Linked DNA regions of Callithrix jacchus. The protein of the gene in region 1 purifies or fractionates together with the protein of each later gene. This does not show direct contact. Links are inferred from orthologs where the notes say so. Each region holds a gene or a part of one and is shown in the gene's direction. Other genes may lie near its edges. The genes, in order: CRK, SOS1, ASAP1, PEAK1, EPS15, DOCK5 and EDC4.

Evidence for each region.
Region 2: the proteins of CRK (region 1) and SOS1 purify together in Homo sapiens (affinity purification with mass spectrometry; 6 studies listed by BioGRID and IntAct, with this or other methods). This does not show direct contact. The link is inferred for Callithrix jacchus from reciprocal best matches to the Homo sapiens genes CRK and SOS1.
Region 3: the proteins of CRK (region 1) and ASAP1 purify together in Homo sapiens (affinity purification with mass spectrometry; 3 studies listed by BioGRID and IntAct, with this or other methods). This does not show direct contact. The link is inferred for Callithrix jacchus from reciprocal best matches to the Homo sapiens genes CRK and ASAP1.
Region 4: the proteins of CRK (region 1) and PEAK1 purify together in Homo sapiens (affinity purification with mass spectrometry; 4 studies listed by BioGRID and IntAct, with this or other methods). This does not show direct contact. The link is inferred for Callithrix jacchus from reciprocal best matches to the Homo sapiens genes CRK and PEAK1.
Region 5: the proteins of CRK (region 1) and EPS15 purify together in Homo sapiens (affinity purification with mass spectrometry; 3 studies listed by BioGRID and IntAct, with this or other methods). This does not show direct contact. The link is inferred for Callithrix jacchus from reciprocal best matches to the Homo sapiens genes CRK and EPS15.
Region 6: the proteins of CRK (region 1) and DOCK5 purify together in Homo sapiens (affinity purification with mass spectrometry; 3 studies listed by BioGRID and IntAct, with this or other methods). This does not show direct contact. The link is inferred for Callithrix jacchus from reciprocal best matches to the Homo sapiens genes CRK and DOCK5.
Region 7: the proteins of CRK (region 1) and EDC4 purify together in Homo sapiens (affinity purification with mass spectrometry; 3 studies listed by BioGRID and IntAct, with this or other methods). This does not show direct contact. The link is inferred for Callithrix jacchus from reciprocal best matches to the Homo sapiens genes CRK and EDC4.

Annotation. Positions count from the first base shown.
Region 1 is NC_133506.1:66,815,796-66,819,295, forward strand, and holds part of CRK (adapter molecule crk), read left to right. Parts: intron 1-766; coding exon of another isoform or gene 767-839; intron 840-1,654; coding exon 1,655-1,792; 3' UTR 1,793-3,500. UniProt on the Homo sapiens protein: Involved in cell branching and adhesion mediated by BCAR1-CRK-RAPGEF1 signaling and activation of RAP1.
Region 2 is NC_133515.1:75,898,062-75,902,202, forward strand, and holds the start of SOS1 (son of sevenless homolog 1), read left to right. Parts: upstream 1-1,341; 5' UTR 1,342-1,777; coding exon 1,778-1,864; intron 1,865-4,141.
Region 3 is NC_133517.1:67,190,895-67,194,394, forward strand, and holds part of ASAP1 (arf-GAP with SH3 domain, ANK repeat and PH domain-containing protein 1), read left to right. Parts: intron 1-1,841; coding exon 1,842-2,028; intron 2,029-2,265; coding exon 2,266-2,351; intron 2,352-3,500. UniProt on the Homo sapiens protein: Possesses phosphatidylinositol 4,5-bisphosphate-dependent GTPase-activating protein activity for ARF1 (ADP ribosylation factor 1) and ARF5 and a lesser activity towards ARF6.
Region 4 is NC_133509.1:23,586,960-23,591,019, forward strand, and holds the start of PEAK1 (inactive tyrosine-protein kinase PEAK1), read left to right. Parts: upstream 1-1,260; 5' UTR 1,261-1,700; intron 1,701-2,245; exon of another isoform or gene 2,246-2,380; intron 2,381-2,459; exon of another isoform or gene 2,460-4,060. UniProt on the Homo sapiens protein: Probable catalytically inactive kinase. Scaffolding protein that regulates the cytoskeleton to control cell spreading and migration by modulating focal adhesion dynamics. Acts as a scaffold for mediating EGFR signaling.
Region 5 is NC_133508.1:88,416,372-88,420,642, reverse strand, and holds the start of EPS15 (epidermal growth factor receptor substrate 15), read left to right. Parts: upstream 1-1,471; 5' UTR 1,472-1,586; coding exon 1,587-1,619; intron 1,620-4,271. UniProt on the Homo sapiens protein: Involved in cell growth regulation. May be involved in the regulation of mitogenic signals and control of cell proliferation. Involved in the internalization of ligand-inducible receptors of the receptor tyrosine kinase (RTK) type, in particular EGFR.
Region 6 is NC_133514.1:16,102,364-16,105,369, reverse strand, and holds part of DOCK5 (dedicator of cytokinesis protein 5), read left to right. Parts: intron 1-1,016; coding exon 1,017-1,120; intron 1,121-1,668; coding exon 1,669-1,773; 3' UTR 1,774-3,006. UniProt on the Homo sapiens protein: Guanine nucleotide exchange factor (GEF) for Rho and Rac. GEF proteins activate small GTPases by exchanging bound GDP for free GTP. Along with DOCK1, mediates CRK/CRKL regulation of epithelial and endothelial cell spreading and migration on type IV collagen.
Region 7 is NC_133521.1:25,404,472-25,408,693, forward strand, and holds the start of EDC4 (enhancer of mRNA-decapping protein 4), read left to right. Parts: upstream 1-1,422; 5' UTR 1,423-1,614; coding exon 1,615-1,696; intron 1,697-4,222. UniProt on the Homo sapiens protein: In the process of mRNA degradation, seems to play a role in mRNA decapping. Component of a complex containing DCP2 and DCP1A which functions in decapping of ARE-containing mRNAs. Promotes complex formation between DCP1A and DCP2.

The DNA of each region.
Region 1 (3,500 bases):
CAACAAGAACAAAATTTCATCTCAAAAAAAAAAAAACAACAACCAAAAAAAACTCTTTTGAGATGGAGTTTCGCTCTTGTTACCTGGGCTGGAGTGCAATGGCGCGATCTCGGCTCACCGCAACCTCCGCCTCCTGGGTTCAGGCAATTCTCCTGCCTCAGCCTCCTGAGTAGCTGGGATTACAGGCACGCGCCACTATGCCCAGCAAATTTTTTGTAATTTTTAGTAGAGACAGGGTTTCACCATGTTGACCAGGATGGTCTGGATCTCTTGACCTCGTGATCCATCCGCCTCGGCCTCCCAAAGTGCTGGGATTACAGGCTTGAGCCACCGCGCCCAGCCTTCAAAAAAAAACTCTTTAGTCCAGTGACATCTGAGACTTTATCTCACCGTTTAGTATTTAGTATCTCACATGGTGAATTCATTCATCAGGTTGACCTCTTAAGTTTCGTAGTATATCGTAGATTGTTAGAACTTCATATTTCATTTTGCAACAAGAGACATTTTATAAATACGTGACAAAACAATAGGGATTTTTTGTTTGTTTTGTTTTTTTTGAGGCAGGGTCTGGCTCTGTTGTCCAGGCTGGAGTGCAGTGACGCAATCTCGGCTCACTGCAACCTCTGCCTCCTGGGCTCAAGCAATTCTCTCACATCAGCCCCCCAAGTAGCTGGGACTATAGGCAGCCACCACCACACCCAGTATATTTTTTAAAATTTATTTTTAAGCTAGCCATTTGTAAGGATAATTTTTGTATTTTTTGTAGAGACGGGTTTCACCATGTTGCTTGGGCTGGTCTCAAACTTCTGAGCTGAGGGAATCCATCCACCTGTGTCAAGGTCAGCAAGTGCTGGGATTGCAGTCATGAGCCACTGCGCCCAACCATAGTTGTTTTTTTATCCCCTCATTGGGTAATGCTTGGGTAGCAAGGGGCATTGAGGGAGCCTCAAGGTCTGTCTGAGGGTGGGATTGCTGGCAGGGCGGGCAGTAGCTTGTCAAATAGAGCTGGCAGAATTAGGTCGGGGTCTCTCAGGAAGCTAATTGGATTTGGAGTTTTGGCCTCTACCTGCCCATACGGGAAAAGGCTTGCTTTGGTCAGGAGTGATAGGAACACAGGATTTTCTAGGACCACATAACATATATGCTTGCCGTGATCGCTGATGCTATGCAAGCAGCAACAGGCCAGGATGTGTGTGTGCTAGTGGGTGGCGGGATTGTGTTGCTACCACATGCCAAAGAGGGAAAGGCTGCTTGTCCTGGGACAGGGCCTGCAGGCAGGTGGAATGCTGAGGGCAGTGAGTACAAAGAAAGGGAACACTAGCGAGCTCACTGACACCAGGATTGCTCATGTAGAGATGCTTGGGATTTCCATTCATTATCATTCTTTTTTAATCAAAAAGTATCATTATCTGGGATCCTCTTTTACTTTCTGTATTCTCTGTGTTTTTCTGCACTGCTAAAAACACTTCTTCCTTCTGCCTGCATTAACCACAAGTAATCAGTCTGGTGGCTGGGGCTGGGGAGGCAGCAAATGGCCATTTCTGTGACATCCCTAGAGTGATCACATGGGCAGGGTATGCCTGAGCAGAGAATGGAGTTTGTCCGCTGCATTCCTAACCAGAAATAAAGTGCTGTCCTTATTCTCCTCCTGCAGGTCGGTGAGCTGGTAAAGGTTACGAAGATTAATGTGAGTGGTCAGTGGGAAGGGGAGTGCAATGGCAAACGAGGTCACTTCCCTTTCACACATGTTCGTCTGCTGGATCAACAGAATCCCGATGAGGACTTCAGCTGAGTAGAGCTCAACAGTTTTGCTGACACATGGGAACAATCTTTTTTTTTCTAACTGCCATCTATACAATTTTCTTACAGATGTCAAAAGCAGTCTTGTTTATATAAGCATTCTGTTACCTGTGATCTTTTTTAGACTGAACAACTCCATTCCTAGTCTTACTTAGCACATTCAGGGTACGAACTGGAGGGCTGTGTGTTAGCTTCTGAATTGGCGATTTGAGGAGGTAGTGGCGGTGCCTGTGTGTATCAGGAGGGAGAGGTGTCTTGCCTCCTTTCAGGCAGTGCAGATCACCTGTGGAAAACCGACGGACAGGAAAGAGTTACACACTGCTTACCCTGATTTATTCAGTGGTTCTGTTTTCATTCTGGAACCATACTGTCGAATGGCAACAGACTGTTCCCTTCTACTCCCACGAAGTAATCATGCACCGTGTGAATAGTATGGAGCAGGACTGCTTTCATTTATGGAACGTGACCATTGTATGACTCATTGTGACACTGCAGACCCTAAGAATTCTAAGAACACTACTAGAAGCATTTGTCTTCCTTCTTAGTCAGTGCTTCATACTATTTCTTGAGATTCTTTTAGCCCTTGTCATTCTTTTCCCCCAAACCTGTAAGTAGGTTAATTCCTAAGGTGAGTTTGTATTTTCATTCCAGGTGACAAGCAGGATGTACCGAGTACTTTATTCAGTGCATAGCTTTAAGGCAGTGTTGGATTCACTAAGTGGACAGCCAGTCTCCCAGCTCTCTGCCTTTCCCAAAAGGGTCGTGGTAGGTCACCCTTCTACAGCAGCTCAACAGAGTCTTAACTAATGGGATCCAACAGGGCCGTTTCTGCCGAGTACCAGTATCCTATCAGGAGACTCTTGGAATTCTTAGGTTCTGCTTGGAGTGGAAGGACCAATCACCTCTAATAGTCCGTGGAAGGTTTTGAGGCCAAATTCTGCCCTCTGTATTCTGTGCAACTTGTATGAAAGTCAAGTTAGTATTAAATGAGTTTGGGGTAGGGTTAGTGCTTTGAAAAGTGTTAGAAGCAATCGTGAGTTACTTACGTATCCCTCACGTCTTATGGGCAGAGTGATGCTATTGAAGTACATTACATTATAAACTGCCTTCATTTCTGGTTCTTTCTGTTCATGTTCAGGTTTTGTTTACAAACCCATTTAAGTATGGAATGATTTATATGGGGTCAGGTGCTCCAAAAAATAGACAGATGAGACCAAAAATGATCTAGGCAATTTAGACCACGGCATGAAACTTCCAAGTGAGTTCTCAGTCCGTAAAGGCACTTACTGGTCTATGGTATGGTATGACAATAGAAACACCTTTGGACCTCATTTTGGAAGGAGAATCTACCTTTCTAATTGTTCTGCATAGGTGAATATGATAAATTAGCATTCTTTGAACATTCAACAAATCATGGTATCCCAGGGACTGGCGCATTGCCTGACACACAGTCAGCATGCACGTGCCTGAATGAATGAGGAGACTGAGAAGCTGGTTTCGTGGCACAGGATCCCCACATGGCCACAAGCAGACTGATGCGTTGACACTAATTTAATATATTTTTACCTCACACTAAGGTAATGCTTGATAAAGACATTAGCACAGTGCTCTGCACACAGTGGGTGCTCAGTAATGTTGAGTGAACAAATCCCTGATACTAGATGTCATCCATCTGACTGCTTTGTTAACTTTCCAGTTAG
Region 2 (4,141 bases), on another chromosome or scaffold:
ACCTCAGGTGATACACCTACCCTGTCCTCCCAAAGTGCTGGCATTATAAGGCATGAACCACCTTGCCCACTGGCCTGTATATTTTTAAAGGAAATAACTGAAGACTTTCTTTTTTTTTTTTCTTTTTCAGATTTTCACAGAGGTCCTGTAAAGATTATGAACCACTGAACATTTCTCATCTACGTGATCCTGGCTGTTGTTCTTAGGAATAGCAGGACACAATGTCAGCTTCAACCCAAGCTAGTTCCTCTAAACTGCATTCTTATCGGTGAAATGAAAATAATAGGGTTGCTATGGGGATTAAATCAGATGATACTCCAGAAGTGATCATTAATGATAAACCATGAGGTGTCTGCCACAAAGTGCCACTATTATAAACAGTGGCCTGGAGGGACAGTTTATATATACCGGTCCTTTAGCATTCCACTTTCACTGAGTGCCTGTTCTGTGTGGAGGACCTGGTGAAAAAAATCTGCCTTCCAGTTTATTATGTAGTTGAAAGAACCACAAAAGATACAAAACACTATAGACCAAATGCCCTGAGAGAGGAATAAGTGCAGTGTTCTGGGAGCTTTAGAAGAGGTCTCAGTATCCATTGGAGGAAAGTGCTTATTGGAATTCATATTTGGAGAGGGTTGAAAAGATGAACAAATGCAATCTAACACACACAGAAAATCAATACTACATGTACACATTTTATTCTTGATGACGTGGAAAGACCAGTTAAAAACACTGCGATCACTTCTATTGCCCAGCAGATACTTAGCAGTAGGTTTCGAGACAGAGCACCTGTATATTTTGTCCGGTCTGTTTACTATACATTGCGTGCTGGGCAGTCCTTATCTTTGTGTTCGGGAACAAAGTACACACGCCCCTTTCCGAAACGAAAGGCCCAGGGACTCAGAGAGGGGTAGGAGCCCTCACGGCTAGACCACACAGTGGGGGCTTCTTTACCGTAGTTCTTACCCCCTCTGCAGGCCCCACTTTGCCAGGGTTCGATTTCTCGGGCCCTTTCGCCCCTCCTCAGGAGTCCCCAGGAGCGCAACCACAGCCCGGTCAGGCGCCCTGCCTCCCTTCCCCACTCCCCCCGCCCCCAGCTTCCCTCCTCCTTCACCGGGAGCCGGAAAACCCGGAGCGAACCAGCCCAGCCCGGCAGCGCATGCTCAGTAGCGCGCAGGTTCAGTTTGCTAGTAGGAAGCTCCAGCGCTACACCGGCGGCGGCAGCGGCGGCACCTCAGGGCAGCCAGATTCCCCAACAACGACCTCGGGTCCTTCCCCTTCCCCGCGAAACCCCCTCCCCCAGCTCCGCCCCACCCGAGGGCTCTTGCGTTTCGGAGTCTCAACTGCGCGGAGCGGGCGCCGCGGCCAGAGCGTCCCTCCACACGTCCTCCCCCAGCCGCCAGCTCTGCCGCGGGGCCAGGCCGGACCCGGGAGTGCAGCCCCGGCAGGCGGCGGCGGTGTAGCGGGCCGCCCGGGGCGGCGCCGGCGGGCCAGGGAGGGGCGGGGGGGCCTGGCCCCGGGGCGGTGGTGCGGGATGCCGCCGCCTCCGGGTCGCATTCGTTCTCCACGGCTAGTACCCGTGTCGGGTGGGTGGCTGGGCGTGGGCCTCGCCCTTCAGCCCCCTCGCCAGGGCTAGCCCGGCTGCGCGGCGCCCGGAGGGGGCCGGGCCGTCCGGTGGGGCCGCGGCCCTATTCCGCGCAGCGAGCTCGCCCTCTCGCGGCTCCCCGGCCGGGCCGCCGCCGCCCCTCTCCCCGCCCAGAGGCGCCCTGGGGGCACCATGCAGGCGCAGCAGCTGCCCTACGAGTTTTTCAGCGAAGAGAACGCGCCCAAGTGGCGAGGACTGCTGGTGCCTGCCCTGAAAAAGGTGAGGAGCACGCCGGACCCCGCTTCCCGGCCGCAGCCCCCCAGCGCGGGCGCCGAGCAGGCGCAGGGGAAGGGCTGGGGAGGCGGGGCGCGCGCGCAGGGCCGTCTTTCTTCCCTGTCTCGCCGCGTCTCCGAAAGGACGGCGCACACGGGGAGGTCCCCCACACGGCTGGCTCTCAGTGTTGACATCCACCCGTAGTGTGGGAAGGCCGCGGGGAGCCGCGGGCAGTTGCTCCGAATAATCCAACCCCGAGAGGTGAATGCTTTGCCCTTTGATTCCGAGACAACGGTTGGAGAAGCCTCAGTTTTCAGTGGAGGTCAAAGCAGGCCACTTTTCCGCCTTCTCGGTCTTAGCCCGGAGCTGTTGTCAGCCTCATGTTTTAGGTGTCCAGTATGCTCGTTTTAGTGGCTTGAGAATGCCCTGGCCGTAACGCTTGCTCTAAGGAATTGCGAGCTCGCCTGCCAGCAGGAGCGTGGCCTGCTCCGCTCGTCCTCAGTAATCACTCTCTGTTCTCCTGATCTCCCCTGCTCCTCGGATTAACAGGGGCTGGTGCACATGCTACCAATTTCAGGGGTTTTGTTTTGTTTTTGCGGCATTCGAGATTCTTGGTGCTGTCATTTGGCTTGTTAAGAATTTTTAGTCTTTGTATGTTTAAGTTTGCTGTGTTTTTAAATGTTTTAGTATAATTAGGAAATGTTACATTTTTAAAGCTTCTAGAGCAACAGTGTACTAGACTATTTTTGTTTCCTTTTCTTCATTTACCTTTTCTACAAAGATTGCTTTACTCATCTAAGAGTGTTTCTAAATCTGTTTCTTGCTGCTCGAAGACTCTTTCATGTTAATTAGTTAACATATAGTTTTGCTTCTACTAAGAATGGAGATTATGTTGTACCTTTTATGCTAAGCATTAAAAGGTGTCTGATAGTGCTTAAAGGCCAGTAACTTTTACTTTCCCCTTTGCCCTGTTCTCTTGTCCCTCTTGCTATCTTACAGTGGAAACTATTTGGTTTGTTAGGAGAATTTGCTTATGTATTTCTGACTTAAGTTACTGACATTTTCCCCTTCAGGTGTCTGACTAGTCACGAACACCTATGTGATTTTTCTTTTTTTTTTTTTTAAAGAAAACCAAAAAGATGCCATATATCCTTTTCTTTTCTTTTTTAAATAAGATGGGGTTTCACCATGATGGCCAGGCTGGTCTTGAACTTCTGACCTCAGGTGATCCACCCACCTCGGCCTCCCAAAGTGCTAGGATTACAGGCGTGAGCCACTGCACCCAGCCGCCATATGTCTTATGTACTTTAATCCTTAGAAATCCCGTCAGGTTCTCACTACTTACTTTTGCTTTACCTGCAAGTTTGACTTCTTAGCGTGTAATGGAAGGGGTTTAGGAGGTCTCTGTGCTGCCAGAAGCTGATGTCCAGGTAGGGTAAGGGAAGACAGGGAAATTGTTTAAAAACCTGTAAAGGAACTCATAAAGCATTGCCAAATAGGGGCCATTTTGCTTAGAGGCAAAAACAGCTCCTATCCCGGGGGAATCACCAAGCTATCAGCTTAGGATCTTTTGAAGTAGTGGAAGAATACTGTAGGAGTTGACAGACCTTGTTTAATTCTGCCATGCTGGTGGCCCTTGCTGAAATCTGTCCCTAGAAGCATTTTGTTTGGCTGGCACAGTGTTGTTTTATTTTTAAATGTAATTAGTTGCTGGCATTTGAAAATGGGAGATATTACATAAAATCTGAATTTTCAGCTTTTCTTGAAGAATAGGAAGTTCTTGCTAGTTAGGGCCTGTATTCCAGCAAGGCACTAAACTGCTGGAGGTGAGTAAATGGTTGTCCTCTTTAGACAAGGCATGTATCTCCACCTTACCACAACCCCCACTTGTCCTCTTTGTTTATTTACGTAAACCAACTTTTGAATTTAAGGTAGAGATACTTTTGCAGTAAGTGATAGAAGAAGGTGGAAGTATACATAATCTAGCTAATGTGTAAGGTTCTTCCAATTCTTAAATAGCCAATAACTATGATTCTAAGACAAGATTGAAAATACAGTGTATTTCATATCTGGATATGTTGTCCGTAGCTCCAAACCTACATTTTTACCTGCCTGCTGGACATTTCATGTGGATATCTCCATATCTTGATTTCTTTTGATTCACTATTGAATTATTTATAGATGCATCCAACTTGTGCTCTCTTACTCTTACCTGAGGCTCTTTGGACATGCTAGTCCCCTCACCTTTCTTTGCCTGATCCAACACTACTCATCCTTCTAGAC
Region 3 (3,500 bases), on another chromosome or scaffold:
CTCCTAAGGCATGCATCATTCTTCTTTCCTTACCCATAATTTGCTTCCTATGATTACCAGGCAGCTATGATTACTAATGTTTTACAGGTGAGGAAACTGAGGCACAGCAAGAACTTGATTTACCCAAGGTCACATAGTTAGCATTTGGTCTCAGACTTGAATCAAGAGCCATTTAATTTTTAAGTCTGTTGCTCCATTCATCAACACAATAACTGCCATTCACACCTTATGTAAGACACATGCAGCAGAGGCCTCAGAAGCCAGGCTTGGGCCATTCTTTTGGTTACTGGAAGTCTTCTAATTCATCAGGCTCTTGCTATCCTAAAGGGACTTTGACCTAAGCATAAAGGACACCCATGAGCATGAGCACTTGGTTACTTAATAAAATCAGTTGGTCTTTTCTCAACTGCATAGAGTTGAGAAAAGACCAGAGGCTATGTGCCATCATCAACCAGCTCAACTCTTTTTACTACCAACCCAGAATGAAAGAAAAAGGTATTGGCACAATGTTAAACTGTGTTGCCTGACTGTGAGGTGTTGGAAATAGCAACAGCTTCCACAGGTGGAATGCATATTTTTGAGCAAGAAAGTTTATATCCTTTGTGTTAGAGCCCTCTCAGAAGGTAGAAAACACTTCTTAGAAACTACATCCTTTAATTCAAAATATACCAATGTCTTATCTACATTTTCAGATTTTTTAAAAAAAACCTAAAGCTCATGAAGATTAAGCAGTTTCCCATGGTCACACAGCTGGGATGTTGTAGAACTAGGATGTAATCTGAAGTCCATTTACTGTCTTTTTTAAACTCATGTAACTGGGAAATTAAAGGGATGGATTCAGATACAGCTGGATCCAGGCTATCAGACAGCGTCACATGTACCCTAGCTCTCTTTCCCTGACTCTTACCTCTCCTTTCCTCATAGCTGACTTTCATTTTAGTCTTTGCCCAGAGGTGACCAGGGCAACCATTGGGCCACTTAGGTTATATACTCACCCCTGTCGCTGAGAGGTAAGCTGAGTCCTACCAGAAATACTTGAACTAAAGTGAGAAAGGTGATTTCTCAAGAGAAGGAAAAAGTACCTCACCCCTTCAGGGTTTGGGCATGTTACCCATGTGGTGTCGTGCTCCCACACCAAAACTTCTGCGGGAAAGATAGCTAACCTTCACCCCTTTGGAGCTCAATGCTTGGCCTGGGGTAGTTGCTTCAGTGACAACCTTTCTGAGCCTCAGTTTCTTCACCTATAAAATGGAGAGTTATGGCCAGATTTTGGCTCACGGCTGTAATCCCGGCACTTTGGGAGACCAAGGCAGGAGAATTGCTTAACCTTAGGAGTTCAAGACCAGTCTGGGCAACATAGCGAGACCCCACCCTTTAAAAATTTCATAAAATAAATAGGAAGTTACATCAGATGACAAAAATCCTTTCCATGAAGCTCTGAAAACTGTTAATTGATCTTTTATAATGTGTTTAATTTCTTAAATTTTTTAATTTTCTCATATATATCAGAGTTTGAAGTATTTACACTTGATTTCTCATGCTGTTGGTCAAGATGAAAAAGAAATTTGCTGTGATTTATGTATTTAACTAATATATACAGGTAATAAATATAGTTTACTTCGTAACTATATTTATTACCTGTATATATTAGTTAAATACATAGTATTTTCTTTATTCTGTCTCTATTGGAATAATTTGGTCTAAAACCTGTTTTGTTTGAATGGTGAAAAGAAGCATATCTTAATTAAAATAACTTCACAAAGAGAAATGTTTGTCAGAAAAACATAAACCTTTCTTAGCACTTGGAAAATAAAAATTCTTTATTTTATCTTGTGTTTTAGGACTGTGCGAAAAGAATATATCACTGCAAAGTATGTAGATCATAGGTTTTCAAGGAAGACCTGTTCAACTTCATCAGCTAAACTAAATGAATTGCTTGAGGCCATCAAATCCAGGGATTTACTTGCACTAATTCAAGTCTATGCAGAGGGGGTAGAGCTAATGGAACCACTGCTAGAACCTGGGCAGGTAAGTCCTCACTAAAATCATAGGATAAAGAGTAATGTGGAAAATCGGTTTAAAAGGTGACTTATTTTAAAATTATACTATACAATGAGACTCTTATACATTGGGTGACCATGTCTAAATCAAGAGATTTTGAGAGTGAAAATGTGTGCTCCTTATAATTACTTCGACTAATGTATATGACACTTCCCTAGGCAGAGCATATGATCCACTTATTTATACTTTTTCTTCCCTTTTTAGGAGCTTGGGGAGACAGCCCTTCACCTTGCCGTCCGAACTGCAGACCAGACATCGCTCCATTTGGTTGACTTCCTTGTACAAAACTGGTATGGTTTTTGTTTTCTCTATTGAATTACCTGAATATGCCTTATAAATTAACACAAACCAGTCCTATCAGTGGCCTCGATCAGGAATTGGCAAGCTTTTTCTGTATCATGCTAGATATAAAAAATATTTTTTACTGGGAGATGTCTCGAAATGTAAAATCCCATCCTTTGGGTTGTGGGGTTTTTGTTTTCTCCAAACAAAATCTGATCTTTAAGGTTAATATATATGTATTGGCTTTGCAGGCATGAAGTGTCTCTGTCAGAGCTATTCAGTTCTGCCATGTTAGTGTGAAAGCAGCCATAGACAATGTGTAAACAAGCGAGTATGGTTCAATTCCAATAAAACTTTATTACTTTATTTATAAAAACAGATAGTGAACTAGATATGGCCTGCAGGCTATAATTTGCCACCCCTTGGCCTTTATAAATGTAAAATTCTGTTTGTATTCAAAACTCTTCTGCACAGACTGGACACATTTCCCAACCATTAGGAGAGGTTAAAAGAGAGAAGACTTAACAGCACAGGTTAACCAGATTTTTGAGTTTTCATTGTTCATAAATTTCATATGAAACAGCAGCAGTGTGTGTGGCTGGATCAGTAGCTCATTCAAGTTTGGGACATACTAATGGAAGTATAATAGTGAAACAGGAAGTTTGGACTTGCTGGATTCCTTCTTTATTCTTTAGCTGTTCTGTAAGCAACAGATTTGTGAGGAGGGACTAGAGCTCATCCAAAGAAGATGATCAAAATATTAGGGGATCGGAACCCGTATAGGAAGAATGGTGCATAGACACAAGCCAAATTATATAAAAGTCCAGGTTTCTTCTTCAGAGACAACATAGCATAGCGGGTCAAAGCATTGGCTCCAGAGACAGAATACCTGTGTTCAGATCCCTGCTTCACCATACCCATCCTGAAAATCTTGAAAGCAAGCACTTCAGCCTCTCTGTGCTTTAGGTTTTTTTATCTGTAAAAGAGGCTATTATTAGTACTTACCCCATCAGATGGTTGTAAAGATTCAATGAACTAATACATGTACCATTAAGAAACAATGTCTGTCCCATAGTTCCTGGCACTCTCAGTAAATGCTAGTTGTTACCACTATATTGCTTATAAATCTAGGTTAGAAACATAATTTTCTCTGTAAT
Region 4 (4,060 bases), on another chromosome or scaffold:
ATCCCGTCTCTACTAAAAATACAAAAAGTTAGCTGGGCATGGTTGCGCGTGCCTGTAATCCCAGCTACTCAGGAGGCTGAGGCGGGAGAATTGCCTGAACCCAGGAGGCGGAGGTTGCGGTGAGCCGAGATTGCGCCATTGCACTCCAGCCTGGGTAACGAGCGAAACTCTGTCTCAAAATAATAATAATAATAATAATAATAATAATAACAACAAATACAACTTTCACAAGCATTACGTGTAAACTACATATAAGAATGTTTAGGCCGCGGTAACTCAGACCTGTAATCCCAGCACTTTGGGAGGTTGAGGCGGGCAGATCACCTGAGGTCAGAAGTTCAAGACCAGCCTGGCCAACGTGGTTAAATGCCGTCTCTACTAAAAATACAAAAAAATTAGCAGCGAGTGGTGGTGGGAGGCTGGGCAGGAAAAATACTTGAATCCGGGAGGCGGGGGTTGCGGTGAGCTGGCACTCCAACCTGGGTAACAAGAGGAAAACTGTCTCAAAAAAAAAAAAAAAAAAGAAAAGAAAAGAAAAAAGAAAGAAAGAATTTTTTAAGGCCGAGGAAGGTGTTCTCAGGCACCGGGCAAATCAACAGGCTACAGCCCCAAATCAGCAGGCCCAAGAGTATAAGATGTCAATTTTATCAGTTAAGGTAACATCAAATTTGAGTACTACAGTGTGATACTTTCATTCTGCTAATGAAAATGCCCCAGATTTTATGTAAAATATTCAGTCCCCTAAATAATAAGTTATCTCCTTAAAAAAAAAGAGGAGCTAGATTTCCTGTTGCATGTCAAGGCAGAGGGCACCACACTTCACCCAGCCAAGGCTGGACTTGAGTACGGTGTAAAATTGGCAATTCATCAGTCACACAACAAGATAGGTCATCTTGCAGAGGTAAGTAGAGAATTCTAACCGGGGCTTTTGAATTCTTTGAAGAAAGCACTGAGACAGTTTTGCTCAGGAGGAAATGTTTCGTCTTCCACGTAGAAACAAACTCATAAATTCTGACTGCAGGTTGGTGCTCACCACAACGTGGAATAACCTAACTTTTCACATAAAACACAACCCCAAAGCTGCAAGATACGGTCTCCGCGAATGGCACCAAGCACCGCCTTTTCAAGCCCTCACCAGCACTGAAAGTGGGTTGGACACCCCCAAACCATTACCACCCCCCCACAGGAAGTGAGGGTGTCCCCCTCCCCCAGGACGGCCCTCCTCCCCTCCCCCAACCGGAAGTTGAGGCGCCCCCATTCAGCCGGCCTTCAACCAAGACAAACTAATACCACCATCAAAAGAGGGGTGCTCGTCAAGGGGTGAAGGGCATCTCCACTGGGGCCACCCCCAAGCTCGCCTTGCTTACTGACCTGCTGACGACAGGGGCAGGAAGGGGCCTGGGGCCTAAAGAAAGTCCCTCGCACAGAGGACAATTCCCTCAGCCCCTCTCAATCGCCTTCACTCCACGCACTCGTCATCTCACAGCTGGACAAAAATTCTTCCGCAGCACTTTATTTTGGTGTCCTTTCCTTCTCTTTACCTAATCGTTTAACCACCTTCTCACAGGTAACTCCTCTTGCCGCATAACATTTACAAGTGCTCCGGTGAGGAGAAAAATGAAATATTATCCACGGTACCTTCAGAAAAATGGAGGGATTATTTTGCCCCAATGCGGCGAAGGACTACGTGGTTACGCAAGGTGAGCCTTATTTTCGTGGAGGTTTCTGGGAGATGTAGTTTTTTTTTAATTGCGAAGGCCCGCAGAAAGTAGAGGGACTGAAATTGGTCATGACTATATACTAGCGTCTTCGAAAACATATTCTGTATTCGATTACGGCTGACCTAGCGGGCTCTAACGCCCATATGGGCCCAGACTTCCCTGCTCTTTTTCTCTGACGCTTAATCGAACCCAAATTTTCCCTCACGCGGGCTCAAGGTCTCGGCAGCCCGCCCCTTGCCTTGGCCCCGCCCTCCGCAGCCAATCAGGCACCCTTTAGGTGTCGTCCTCGGAGGCTGGACCAGAGAGGAGGGGCCTAGCGGCGACTCCTCCCGCTGGGCTGAGGGAGGCCTGGGAGACGGCAGGGGTCCGTGCGCGCGCGCGTGCTCACGGCTCTAGCAGCGCGGCGGGCGAGCGAGCGAGGGCGCGCGCTGAGGGGTGGCGCGCGGGGCCGGGAGGAGGCGGGCAGGCTGGTGGGCTGGGCGGGCGGCGAGCGGCCGGGAGCGCGCGGTGGACTCGGCCGCGGCGAGTAGTTAGTTAGTTGTTGTTAGTGTCAGTTGCTCGGCGGCGGCGGCGGCGGCGGCGGCGGCGGCCGTGGTTACCAGGAAGGGGACGGGACCGACGGCGATGGTGGTCCCCGCGGCGGCGTGTGCGCCCCTCAGGTAACAGCGGCCCGGCTGCCCCAGTACCCTGGGTTCCGTTCTCCTCACGCGCCGGCGGTGGGACCAGGGTTGCCGCGGGGTGAGGGCGCTGACCCGGGGGAATCTGGGCGGGGTGGCGCGGCGCGGGGTCTGGGTGGCGCCGCCGCCGGGGCTCTGGCTGCCGGTGCGTCCCGCCTGGCGCGGGCTCCCGCTCCCCGGCCACCCCCGCGCCCTGCCGATGCCGCGCGCCCCCCGCCACCCCTGCCCCCTCCCTCGGCGGCGGCCCCGGGAGCGCGGCGTCCCCCAGAGGAAGGAAAGTTGGGACCCGCCGCGAGGGACGCCCCCGGGCGCGGCTGGGAGGCTGCGGGGGAAAGTGAAGCCTGGAGGAGCTGGACGCGGGGAGGCCGGGGCAGGAAGGGCTGCTCTGGTTCCTGCTGGGTCCGCACGGTCAGCCAGCCCCACACCCGCGAGCATCGGCTCAGCCTCGCCGGCAGCGTCGGGACGGACCTGGGTGGCTCCCTGCCTGCTCCCTTCGCGCTGCGGCTGGGGAGCCTGCGAATGTGTGGGCTGGCGGGGTCGTTTGGGGGTTGTGAGCGGTTCGGCTGCTCGGTTTGTTTCCTCTCTGCCCTTTGACTCATCTTGCAACTTTTCTTTCCTCCCTCGATGGGGACTTGCCGTCTGAACCGCGTCTGCCCCCTCCCCCTTCGTCGCATGCACCATCCGTCTGGGAGCTTGATTTCGTTTTTTCCTCCTTTGGCTACGTTAAAGATTGCTGAGAGCACCGGGAGGGACCCTCCTCCCCCGCCTGCCTCCGGCCTGTTAAATGTTACTTTTTGCGATTCGTTGTTTTTTAAAGATCCAAGTTCAGGAATTTGAGAGCTGTGGAATGGAGTTATTGGAAGGCTGGCGTTGAGCGGGTAGTGATGAGTTAGAGGAAAACTATGATTTCATCTTTATTGGCCTTGCTATAGAAGAGCTAATTTATATATATATTTGTCTCTATTGAATGTGGTAAGATCGTACGTTGAATTAAATACTTAGAGACTTACATAAAAGACTATTTTTAGGTCATTGGATGATGTACGTGAGCAGCTTTTCACCTGAACTGGGATTGCCTTCAGAATTCTGTTTTGGGGCCTACCTACTGCTTTTTGTTCAGCGACAGCGCCTTTTTTTCCCCTGATAAATGAAGTGATGTAGTGATGTGTGTAGTCAGAGAACCCATATTGCTCTCTGCAGTGTGGAAGTGAAAAACGCGGATTATCCACAGGGGTGAAACTTTCCATGAGCAATCTTGGCTACTCACTTCACGATGGCTTCTCCTGTAATCTCAGAGCATTTCTAGACAGCTCAATTCACTGACTACCCTAATTACTTTCCGACTTGCCTGGCACTTCTCTTTGGTGACTTGTTTAGTAAACTATAATGGCAGATATGGTACATTTACTTGGCTTCAAAGATGAGGGTTGTAGCCTCAGTCCAGAGATGAACAGTTAACAATGGAAGTAGAATTAATAGCATTGCTAGTGAGTTTTGGATATGACCAACTCACAAACTATGTGAAAAAACAAACATACCCTTTTCATTGCTGTCAGAGAGAGAAAGGGAAATATTTTATCATGTCTTTATTTTGGAGTCTCTAACATGACTATATTATGTGGGAAAAAACGTCAAATTATTTTCTTTAAGGCTTTTTAATGT
Region 5 (4,271 bases), on another chromosome or scaffold:
TGCTCTTGTTAGCTGGCATTTGCCAAAAGGGGTCTGAGTAGAATTAGGAGTTCCTGCAGAAATTTTTAGAATGATTTGCCTGTGATGGCAATAGTCTAAAAACTTAGGTGGGGCTAACTCCATCCTGGGTCTTGTTCAGTTGTCTCTCCTACCATGGGGACTGCTATGGTAATGGTAATGGGTGTGGGCCTGATAGAGTTGCAGTTTGTTGTCATGGGAAGCCACCGTGACTGAGAAATTAAGACCAATTTGGGTAAATACATTTATTGATGCCTCTGTTTGAACTGTGAGGTAGATATAGTAGTGAATCAGCCCCTTGTCCTCAAGGATTTTACAGTGCAGTGAGGTGCAGACAAGCCCTCAACTAACGCTTACAAATAAGGCAGAGCATAAAAAAGGTCATATCAGAACAACTTAGAGGTGGGGTGTGGAGTTCCTAGAAGGCTTCTTGAAGTAGGTGGTATATATGTTGAGCCTTTGAAGATGAGAATTTCAAGTAACTGGGTATTCCAACTGAAGGTTGGCAGCATCAGAAGGTGTAGGATGTGTTATGTTTAACATAGGCAGGAAGGAAGGCCTTTATTAAGCACGCACTGTAATTCCAGGGTCTGACAATATAGAAATATATTGAAAATAGACCTTGCCATCGAGGAGCTCTTAATTTAGAGGGGTAGATAGGTGTAAACTGTCATTAGGGTGGTGACTTCACAAAGTAGAGAAGAAAGGTTATAAAGGAGACCGTGTAAGTAACTCTGACATGAGAAGGAGAGAAGATACTTTGCAAAGTAGGTGATACTAATTATGTCCTGAGAAAGGAGGAGTCTGCCAAGTGGACGATGTAAGAGTGCTACAGGCACTACCGTTCCCTTGTTAAACAATCTAAGTGTGACAGGCACCAGGCAAATACCTTTCCAAATGGATTTTGGCTGTGGGAGGGAATGACTTAATGTCTTCTTTTCTAATATACTAGCAGATAGTTAAATCTAATACTAGGATTCTAATCCAGCTATATAATTAGCTGTATGACCTTAGTAAGGCACTTGTTTCAGTTCCTTCATGAATGCAATTCAAAAATATAAGAGTCTAGTACAGAGCCTGGCATATATAAAGTGCCATTATTATTTTCTATCATTATCTCATTTAGCCCTCGTAAGCAGCTTGGACTCTGGTTAAAATTTCCCCTATTTTTCAGAAGCAGGAGCTCAGCGTAGGTAGGTGAAATTCACAGGACAATCTGGAGTCGCCTCCGCAGCCCGTCCGCTTTACTTTAAGGTCCGCGCCGGGTTTTCCCAGGCGGACCCGGGGGCAGGCTCTGGTCCGGCGGCTGTTACTCCGGCGCCAAGGTTTGGGCGGCGCCGCGGCCTGCTCGCGCGGGCGGGCCGGCGGGCCGGCAGGCGGGCGGGGGCAGGCGGGCGGGGCCAGGCGGGGCGGGGCGGGCGTGAGGAGGGAAGTTGTGGAAGTTAGGGGAGACGCCCGCCCGCCCGCCTGGGCCTCGCCTACAGCCGCTTCCCCCGCCTCCTCTCCTCCCCGCCCCGAGCCCTCGTCTGCCCGTCCTTCCTTCCCCTCCCTTGCATGATGGAAACACCATGGCTGCGGCGGCCCAGCTCTCTCTGACACAGGTAACGCCGCCCGCCTGTCCGCCGGGCTTGGCCGGCCGGTATCCCCCTCCCCCACCGCCCTCAGCTTAGCCAACCCAGGCTAAGCGGGCCTGGCGACCGGCGTGTGTGAGCGAGAGCGGGTGCGACTGCGGGAGGGCGCCCTCCCGAGCTGGAGTCCCAGCGCGGCCGCCGCGACCTCGCCCCGAGTCGTTGGGCGCCCCCTGCCCCGCCCCCCGCTGCCTCCGTCGCCCACTCCGGCCGCCCTTTGCTCCGCCACCGAGCGGACTGTGACCCGGCTCGCGCGGGGCAGCTTTCACTCACCCAGGAAGTTTTTTCCCTTCGGGCCGCACGCACCCCAGGTGAGCTCTCGTTGAGCTCGCGCGGGCCGGCCGCACCCCCGGGCCGCACGAGGCTCGCTCGCTGGGCCGGCAGCGCGCCGCCCCCAGTTGTAGTTGCCTTCCAGAGCCGGACGCGCAGCCCCCCAAGTCAGGTTTTCCTCTCCAGATCTGCCTTTCTCCCGGAGTCCGACGAAAGCCCTTCCTTCCCAGCAGTTTAATGTAGTTACTAGCCTCGCCTCTAAAGAAGTCTCATCCTACCCATCTACCCCCTCTGCCAGCCCCTTCCTCAGTTCAGCCTCTCCCACTCCTGATCAGGTTTCCTTCTGGGTCAGACCCCCTATGCAGCCTTTTCCCACCCACGTCTGCTTCCACTTCCACTTCCCCTCCAGAGGCGCCCGCTTGATTGCTGTGCAGGTGGATGCCCTTAACGGGTGTGGTGGCTCCGCCAGTCTTGGTGTCAGGAACGGCCGCCCGGGGAGCACTTGTCTTGAGGGAATCCTCAGCAAAACTTGTCCTCGAGCTTCCCTCTTGCCTCGTTGCTTCCTGTCAGAGTCCAGTCCTCGTGCTTCTCAGAAAACCTCTAAACATTACTCACACTGGGAACCTGGTCCCTCCCTCTCTGCAGAGAAGCCAATTACAATGTAAACATGGTGTCCGGGATGATAAGGTGACAGACACCTGCCAATCCCTTCCTGCTCCTCTGACCCAAACTTCCCCCACGTCTCCTTCTCAGACGGCTCTCTGCAGAGCTGGTGGCGCGTGCTTCCCGATGTGTGTGTGTGTGTGGGGGGGGGTTGGTGGCACCCAGTCCTCCTTGCCTGCTTTGTGGTATCTCCCTGCCATCTTGTACTCTCCTTGGCCTAGATTCGTTGGTGCTTCTAAGGCTTTAGCGCTGGGATAGGGCAAACATTTGGGCACTAGAGTTTTCTGTGTTTAGGATCAAGAGGCTTCGGGGTGCTTTGCCTGGCACTATAGGATAGAGAGAGAGAGAAAAATGTCTTCTCAGAAACCGGGAGTCACGTACATACTTCATGTAAAATAACGAATCGTGTTTGCAGGAATTCTAAGTGTCATAAGGGAAGTCTGTTTCCCAGTTTATTTGGTAGTGGTGTTTGTCCTGTTCTGACAAGCAGATAACAGCGGGGAAGAACCCTTTAACATGGAATGTGGTGGTTTAGTCTTGGTTATGTATCTTTGGAAGGGTCCTCCCAAAACTCAAATTTGAGCAACGACAGCACTGACTTTTTCAGGTATTCACTTTCTGTGAGTCTAGTTAGTGACTTGCATTAAACGAGATCCCTGTTGGTGGGCTGTTGTTTTCTGGCTCTGTTGGCCAGTTCTGGCAGGAGTTTTCCCTTCTTGAAGATTTTGTGCTCTTGAAGACTTGCGTAAAATTGCTTCTCAGTTGTGTGCATACTTTATTATCGCCCTGGGTAATACCATGTTTTTAGCTTCTATTTACTATCATTCATCTCTGGAGAATTACTTCAGGCTCTGTGAGTTTTATGGTCATTTAAAAAATTTACATATGTTCTTGGGTTATATAGGTATTAATGGGGACACAGTAAGTACGGACACAGTAAGTACTCAATCAGTAGTAGCTATTATCCTTCAGTGCCTCACATATGAAAGAATATACATTGGTGGCCAATTTTTATTGATAAATAAGTAAATTCAGAATATTCTGATTTTCAAACATGAAGAGGTAGTAAGAGGGATTATGAAGGCACAGGAAGAAAACATTTCCAGTTGTTGGTATACCCTAACGTGCCTCCTTATTTCAAAACTTTGCAATTTGTGATTTTTAAATTTAATTCTAATTTTTAAAAACTGCTTGAGCCCAATTCACTAAGATAACAATGCAGCCTGGTTTCAGATTCATTATTGATCCGTTTGTCATCCTCTGTTTTCCCTATCCCTCCCATCCTCCCAGCACACATGTTTAGACAGAGGCATACTCAAGTGAGAGATCATTCAGGCCAGGGACATCTTTTAATCCATCTTTCTTCCATAGTATCTATCTGGAAGAAAGCAATTAATAACTGTTATAGGAATGACTGAAAGCTCTAAAGGATTCTGTGACAGTTATGGAGATTAACATGCTGAAGTTAGTTTCTGTCTCTGTTCATATGATGGTTTTCATTTAGCAAATATTTTAAAAGGACCTATAATGTGCTAGACACTGTACTGGGATTATCTTGTTTATAATTTCTTGCCTTTACCAATTAAGCAAAACAGTTTGGGGGGAAAAATGTGAAAAGTATTTTAGTGGCTAGGCTTGGTGGGTCATGCCTGTAATCCCCAGGACTTTGGAAGGCCAAGATGGGTGGATCAC
Region 6 (3,006 bases), on another chromosome or scaffold:
AAGTGCTGGGATTACAGGCTTGAGCCACTGCGCCCAGCCCTAAACTTTTCTAGATAAACCGGGTGCAGTGGCTCATGCCTGTAATCGCAGCACGTTGGGAGGCTGTGGTGGGTAGATCACAAAGTCAGGAGTTTGAGACCAGCCTTGCCAACATGGAGGGACCTCATCTCTACTAAAAAAATATAAAGATTAGCCAGGTGTGGTGGTGTGCACCTGTGATCCCAGCTACTCAGGAGGCTGAGGCAGGAGAATTGCTTGAAGCCGGGAGGCAGAGGCTGTGATGAGCGGAGATTGCACCACTGCACTCCAGGCTGGGCGACAGAGCAAGACTCGGTCTCAAAAAAAAAACAAACCACTTTTCTGGAGAGTGATCCAAAGGGTGTTAGTGTCCATTTTATAATTGTGAAAGTATAAATGAGACAGATCTGCTCTAGGACTAGACAGATAACAAGTAACTTACAAGCTAACCATTAGGTTAGGCAGACCTGGACAGGGACTAGAAATAGACCCATTCCATCTACTGCTTACAGTCTGGCTTGGGGAACCAGCAGTGCACAACACTTGAGAAGAATTGCAAGGTACCCGTAGTCCAGAGACATGGTGGAGGGATGGGTTTATCAGAGCCAGATGGGAGACAGTTGTCAACCAGGAGTTAATCAATTACAGTTTCCTGGAGGAAGGGAATATTTTCCTAAGCACTTGGGCTCTATCAGAGAACAGAATAATACCATACGTTCCAGAAAATGTTCTTATCTTTATCTTAATTGCAAAACCCTGAAGAAAAAATAAAGTGTTTGCTTCAGAACATCTTGTGAAGCTCTTAAAACTTTCTGGCGAGAGCATTACCTGTGTAATGTTGGGTGAGAAGTCTTCATTCTATTCACAGAAACCACAGAATGTGGCTTTCACAAGTTGGTTGACCGGGTTGGCTTAGGTGTTAAGGTGCCAGCAGCATTTCTGTGAGTTTCCTTGCTCAGTGCCTCTCTCTGCCCGTGTGCCCTTTGTGTCATTTCTAGGTTCCCCATCGTTGCAGATAGATGGACTTGCAGCCATTCCCATCCCACCGCCACCTCCCCCCAAAAGCAAGCCCTATGAGGGCAGCCAGAGGAACTCCACCGAGGTAGGGAAACCACAGCTGGCAACTATGGCCAGGGAGTGCAGCTCCTGGCAGGCAGCATCGAGTTTTCTAGGCTTTGTAGTGGGCAGGTTTGCTCATAGACCTGTCACTGCAGTCGATTCTTGGCTCATTCCTGAAACCACAAGAGATAGAGAAGTTTTCAGTGGGAAGGACAGACATTCAAGCAGATGATAAAGGTAGAGCAGGTGTTCTCTGTACCTCATCCTGGGTACCTGTGAAATAAGTTGTGAGTTCTAGTTCACTTTTTTTGGGGGGGGTGGGAGTGGGGGCAGGGTCTGGCTCTGTCGCCCAGGCTGGAGTGCAATTGTGTGTGTGTGTGTGTGTGTGTGTGTGTGTGTGTGTGTGTGTCTGATTAACTCACAGGAAACAAGAAGGACAAATGCGTGTAGTTTTCCATTTCACCTTGCAAAGCTTAGGTAGATAAACTCAGATCAATGAGAAGCTAAAGCAGAATGTGGGAAATGGGAGGAAAAGGCAGAGTTGGGAAGAAAACTAAAACCTGCTTCTAATTTGTGTGTCTGCTCCTACAGCTCGCTCCCCCACTGCCTGTCCGAAGAGAAGCCAAAGCACCACCTCCTCCACCGCCAAAGGCTCGGAAATCCGGCATCCCTACTTCCGAGCCTGCATCCCAGTAAGGATTTTGCCCTCTCTGCAATACAGAGTACCTTAGACAGCTGCTGCCTGAGAACTGGCCTCCAGCCAGTGTCCTCATTCCACGGGGCTCCCTGCTGCGTCTCCTGATCTGGGATGACGTTTACCAGCTTAAAACCAGTTATGTTCTTCCAAAAGCTTCTCTTTGATAGATGCTTGAGGCCATGTCACCTCCCTTCCAGTCCACATGGAATTCCAGAACAGCCACATCCTCTGAATTTTTCGAAGAAGAGATCGCATTCACCATTGTTAAATGTCAGCCTGTACCGCAGAGACATGGTGGTCTGCACAAGCCTGGACGAGTTCTTCCACACTGATGGTGGAGCAACGCCTGTAATCTACTCCTTGGAAGGAATTTTTGCTTTGCTTATGAAAAGGTGTGCTTGAGACTTAGGTATTTTTCTTGTGCAAACACATCCATCCCATCCCATATTGCATCTTGGAAGATGTGGACACCAAATACACTTTGGTAGCTGAAATAATCGTATCTTTCTGATGTCGACTGTGTCTCCTTTGAGGAAAAGAACACACGTTTTTAAAGGAGATCGGGTGCTTTCAGGTACATGTGGCTGTCATTATTAAAAGAGCATGGACTCAAATGTGAGCCCTGAGTTCCTGCGTCCTCCCAGCTTCCATCTTCTCGTGGCATGGGACAGCTGCCGTCTCCCTCTCCCGCCACGCTCCTGACTAATGGCCTTCTACGCACTGCAGCCACTCCTTCCCTATGGACTTCTTTGAAGCTCTTCCTTTTGCACACACGGTTTTTTTTTTTTGTCCTGTTACCTCCTCTGAGCGCAAATCACTGGCTACAAGGGACTTAGCAATCGGATTCAGCAGCTTCTTTTCCAGACCCCATTTGGATGACTCAGCAGGCCCATCTGCTCCCTGATTTTACCCTGGAGAATACAGTGCAATATCTCCCTTCCAGTATTTATTCCTCTTGATTGTGGAATTAATTTGATTACTTGCTAATGGTACTAATCGTATTCCTTTCAGAAGAAAAAATGGAGTGATTTAGGTGACCAAATATTACATACATAAATAGCCGCATGAAGTTTTAGATGTTTGGAGCTGGAAGCCTCAAAAATCAACCAACAAGCCCCCTTACTTAGTAGGTAAGGAAATTGAGGCTACACACAGAAAATTGTACTACAGTTTCTAATAACCCAGCTTGCTGCATTAGGCTATACCCAGGAAACTTCTAGAAGACAACTTGT
Region 7 (4,222 bases), on another chromosome or scaffold:
CTGATACCTCCTGTGACTTCTGCTCTGGGTAGGTTCAGGGCTCTAGCAGCAGGAGAGATGATCCTGAATCCTGTTGAAGCTGGAGAGGCCCTCCAGGTTGAGGTCTCAGCAATATAAAGGGAGAGGCCTGCTATATCCCCAGGAGGATCAGGATCATATCCAGGTTGCCTCACATACACCAAGCCAGGCAGAGGCAGCTCAGCTCCTATCCCACCTGCTTTGGATATCATTACACAAAGGCCAGTACCCAGCAGAGCCAGCCTCCACTGCCCACAGAGCCAGGCCCAGTTGGGTTGTAGTATAGGTCAGGAGCTGTGGAAGGAGGCAATCTGAGTGTGAGAGACTCATGCTTTAGGGATCCTCAACACTCAGACCTCTGCAGGACATTGCAGGCCTCTCTCACTTCCTTCCTCAGCATAGAGACTTCATGCTATCTTCAAATCCCAGGAAGTCTTAGCTATTAGGGCAGTTCTGTTTCTCTGTTTTGGGGACAAAGGCCTTGCCCAGTATGAACCTGGCCCCTCAGCCCACAGACCTCTGGATGGTATAAACCGAGTGGCAATGTAGCAACCATAGGCTAGAACCAAACCCAGGATTTGGGTCAGTGCCGTTAGGGGTTTTAGGATTGGTAAGAATACCACAGCTAAATCTGACCTGTAAAAGGATACCCTTCCCCTCTTCCACTATGGGTGGAGGCTAAGGACCTCCTCAAATCCCAAAGTTTGCCTGGTGACACTGGGCACAGGGTTGGATGGTGCTCAGGAGATTTCAGGGAATGATCTCTAGGCTGGTGTGTATTTGGGGAAGTAGGGGTGGGGAAGAGGTAGGTACTTGCTGCCTCAAACCACCCTGTATAAAATCTGCAATACAGCTTCTTCCATGTACCTGTGCCTGAACTGTCTGCAATAAAGAGGAATTTGTAAACTGTGGTTTCATTCTTCCAACCGGAGGGTGCCAGGTGGGACAAGAGGGTGCTGGGGGACAGTAGGGAACAATGATTATTGTGGTGGGACCATCTCCCCTACTCTTGCAATTCCTGGGTTTTATGGCCTCGACGGTCGCCTCGGGCCTTGAGTTATTACGACCCATTCCCCAAGGGAACCTGAGGCTCCTGCCAATTCAGCTTATTCTGGGAGTCAGGGACCTTAGCACGGGCGGCTGAGTTGACCCCATCCTAGGACCATCAGAGTCCACGCTCTGAGAGTGGGCAGGGACCGGGCGGCTTCTGAGTAGAGTAGGGCTCTGGGTGGCCCAATGCGTGGACGCTTACCTCAGTCCTGTGGAACTTCCCTGACCCCTCGGGTTCAGGGGCGGGGCCGCAGATGGGGACGGACTGCGGGAGGGGTTTAGGCGTCCGCCCCCAGCCCGGAACCTTTCTTCTCTGGCCCTGGCAGATTCCGGGAGCCTCGGCTTGTGGGGGCCGGAAGTGGAGGCGGTTGGTGGGGGTGGCGGTGCTGAGGGACGCTGCGCGGGCGGCGGTTTGAGAACTGAGAGTGGACTGAGTGTAGCGACCCGTGTCCGGCTGTCTCGCCCTGTCGCGGCTGGGCGAGGGTGGGTGGTGCGCGGCGGCGGCGGAACGAACGCGGTGCGGGCGGGGCGCCCGCCGCTGGGCCCATGGCCTCCTGCGCGAGCATCGACATCGAGGACGCCACGCAGCACCTGCGGGATATCCTCAAGCTGGACCGGCCCGCGGGCGGTGAGCGAGGGTTGCGGGGGTGGGCCCCAGACGAGCTGACAAAAGGGCGGCGAGCCTCTGAACCGCCCTCGGAGCCCACAGCTCCTTTAGGACCAGCTCTGTATCCTCTCAGCGGGTAAGGGTGGACGGAGTTCGGAGTTTCTTCACTGCCCCCTTGGAAGGGCGCAGACCCTTGGGTGTGACCCCTCCCTATCCTTTCCTCAAGCTGTTCTGCCTCGTCCTTCAGCATGTCAGTTGAAGGTGAGGCCCCTTTTCTGAATCAGCTGGGCCCCTCTGGTTTCCTGGCCCCGAGGTCTCTAGTGTTCCTGGGACCGGCCTGGCGTCTCTTCGCTTTCGCGATGGTTCAGAGGCCTTGTCTGGGCTCCGTATATGGAATTCTGGGCCTAGGCTTAATCGCGGTGCTGAAGAGCCGCCAGTCCCCCTCCATAACTTGCCCTTCCCTCTGGAATAGACTCCAGGCCTCCCGTTCTGAAACTGATTTCCAGGAGGAAGGTGTCCAGCCTCAGTTCCATGTTCTTTCTGGGATGAAGGCAAATCACAGACCGCAACACCCTGACTGAATTAGGCTACAAATATCTGCAAGCCCTAATTGGTTTACCTTCATTCGTGTTTCGCTTTAGCTCTTAGTGATACCTAAGAACTAGGTATCCCTGTGTCTAGCTCCCAAAGATCCCCCAAGACACAGAGAGCTAACAGGGTTGTAATATACTGTTGTCATTGAAAGAAAGGAGTGTCTTGATACTGTGATGGGCATGGGAAGGGTGGAGGCTGATGAATGCAGTGTGCAGGTCTGAGAGAGGAGACTGGGCTAGGTCTTGTAATGTGAACAAGGGCTTGGATGTCAGGAAAGGCACTCAAGGCACCTATGTAGAAGCCACCTATTACAAAGAGGAAATAGCACGTATGCAGACACCAGTTTACTGATAGGTTTGGGAATCTCTGAAGTGGCTGGTGATGGTGGTGTGGGTGTGCAGTGGAGAATTGGTGTTTCCTCAGATCTTGTTCTTATACCTGCTTGGAGGCCCAGACTGGCTGCTTCTGGAAGGCACTGGTGCTCACTAAGGGTGGATTCAACTAATGTCCACTCAGAAAATCCGTCTGCTGCCTGAGACCACTGGGCCCTTTGCCCCAGGCCTGGAATGTGTGCCTTCTTTACTCATGAGTAGGTGTGGACCTCTCCTGCTGCTCAGCAGTTGCAGACTAGACTCCACAGAGATTTGGTAGAGCCTGGCATGGCCACACATGTACAGCCTGGGCCTTGTTTTTGGTTGTCCTCCTGGTAGCCTTCATGAAAGGGAGAGTGGTCAGCTTGTCCCTGAGCAGCTAAAGTGGCTCTGATCCGAATGAAGTGGCCTAGACACTTTCCTTATAACTCCTTTGTTTATTGACTGGCACTTGATTCCCTTGTTTTCCAAGGAGCTCTTTCTTGTCTCCTCTCACTGGGGGACCAGGTCCGAATGCAGACTGTTGAGGGCCAGGTGCAGTGCCTCACGCCTATAATCCCAGCACTTTGGGAGGCTGAGGTGGGTGGGTTGCTTGAGCCCAGGGGTTCAAGACTAGCCTGGCCAACATGGTAAAACCTTGTTTCTACTACAAATATAAAAATTACTTGAGCTGTAATCCCACCTACTTGGGAGGCTGATACAGGAGAATCGCTTGAATCCAGGAGGTGGAGGTTACAGTGAGCCAAGATCGCGCCACTGCATTCCAGCCTGGGTGACAAAGCAAGACTCAGTTGGAAAAAAAAAACAAAAGAACTAAAAGACTGGAAACTTTCTGTGTTCCTGAATGTGGAGCCCTAGGCTCTTGCCACCTAGGGGGGCGGTTTGGAAATGGTGTCTAAGCCTATGAGCCTGTTTGAAACCCAGCCAGTTGCAAAGAACTGAAATGCTGCCTTTTCTGATGCCACACTCTGCCCTATAGTTTCTCTCCTTTTGGTCTAGCTCCTTTATGTCCCTACCTCCTGAGTTTTCTTACTAAAACTAGCTTCTCCTGAGCCATTTCTGTATGGGGCAGCCCCTCACATGCCTTAGGAGTCCATCTTCTCTCCAGACCCTGACACTACCTTGGTCTAGGCCTTGATCTTTCTCACCTAGATTCTCAACCATTCTGCATGCTACCCTAGAATAATCATCCCACTGGCCAGAGCTGACCACATCACCTTTCCCTTTGAAACTCTTTGTGGTTCTCATGGCCCACAGGCAAAGTCTAAGTGCCACAGCATCATACCTGAGGCCTCTGCAGCTTTGTTTTCCCTCCATCCTTGCTGTGTTTGTGTGTTCTGGCCACACTGACTGCTCTGTGAAGTCTTTCCTGACCCTTGCTGTGCGCTCACTCAGAGTCCACAGTTATTCTGTACTGACCCGGGCCTAAGTATGAACTGGCCTCAAAGGGTCTTTGATGGCTTGTACCCCTCCCCCAGGTAGGATAGCCTCGTGCTCATCCTTGGTCCCGCATACATCAGTGTTTATGGAATGAGAGTTGAATACAGGGCCCCCCCTCCTCACGGACATGCTTTGCTCAGTT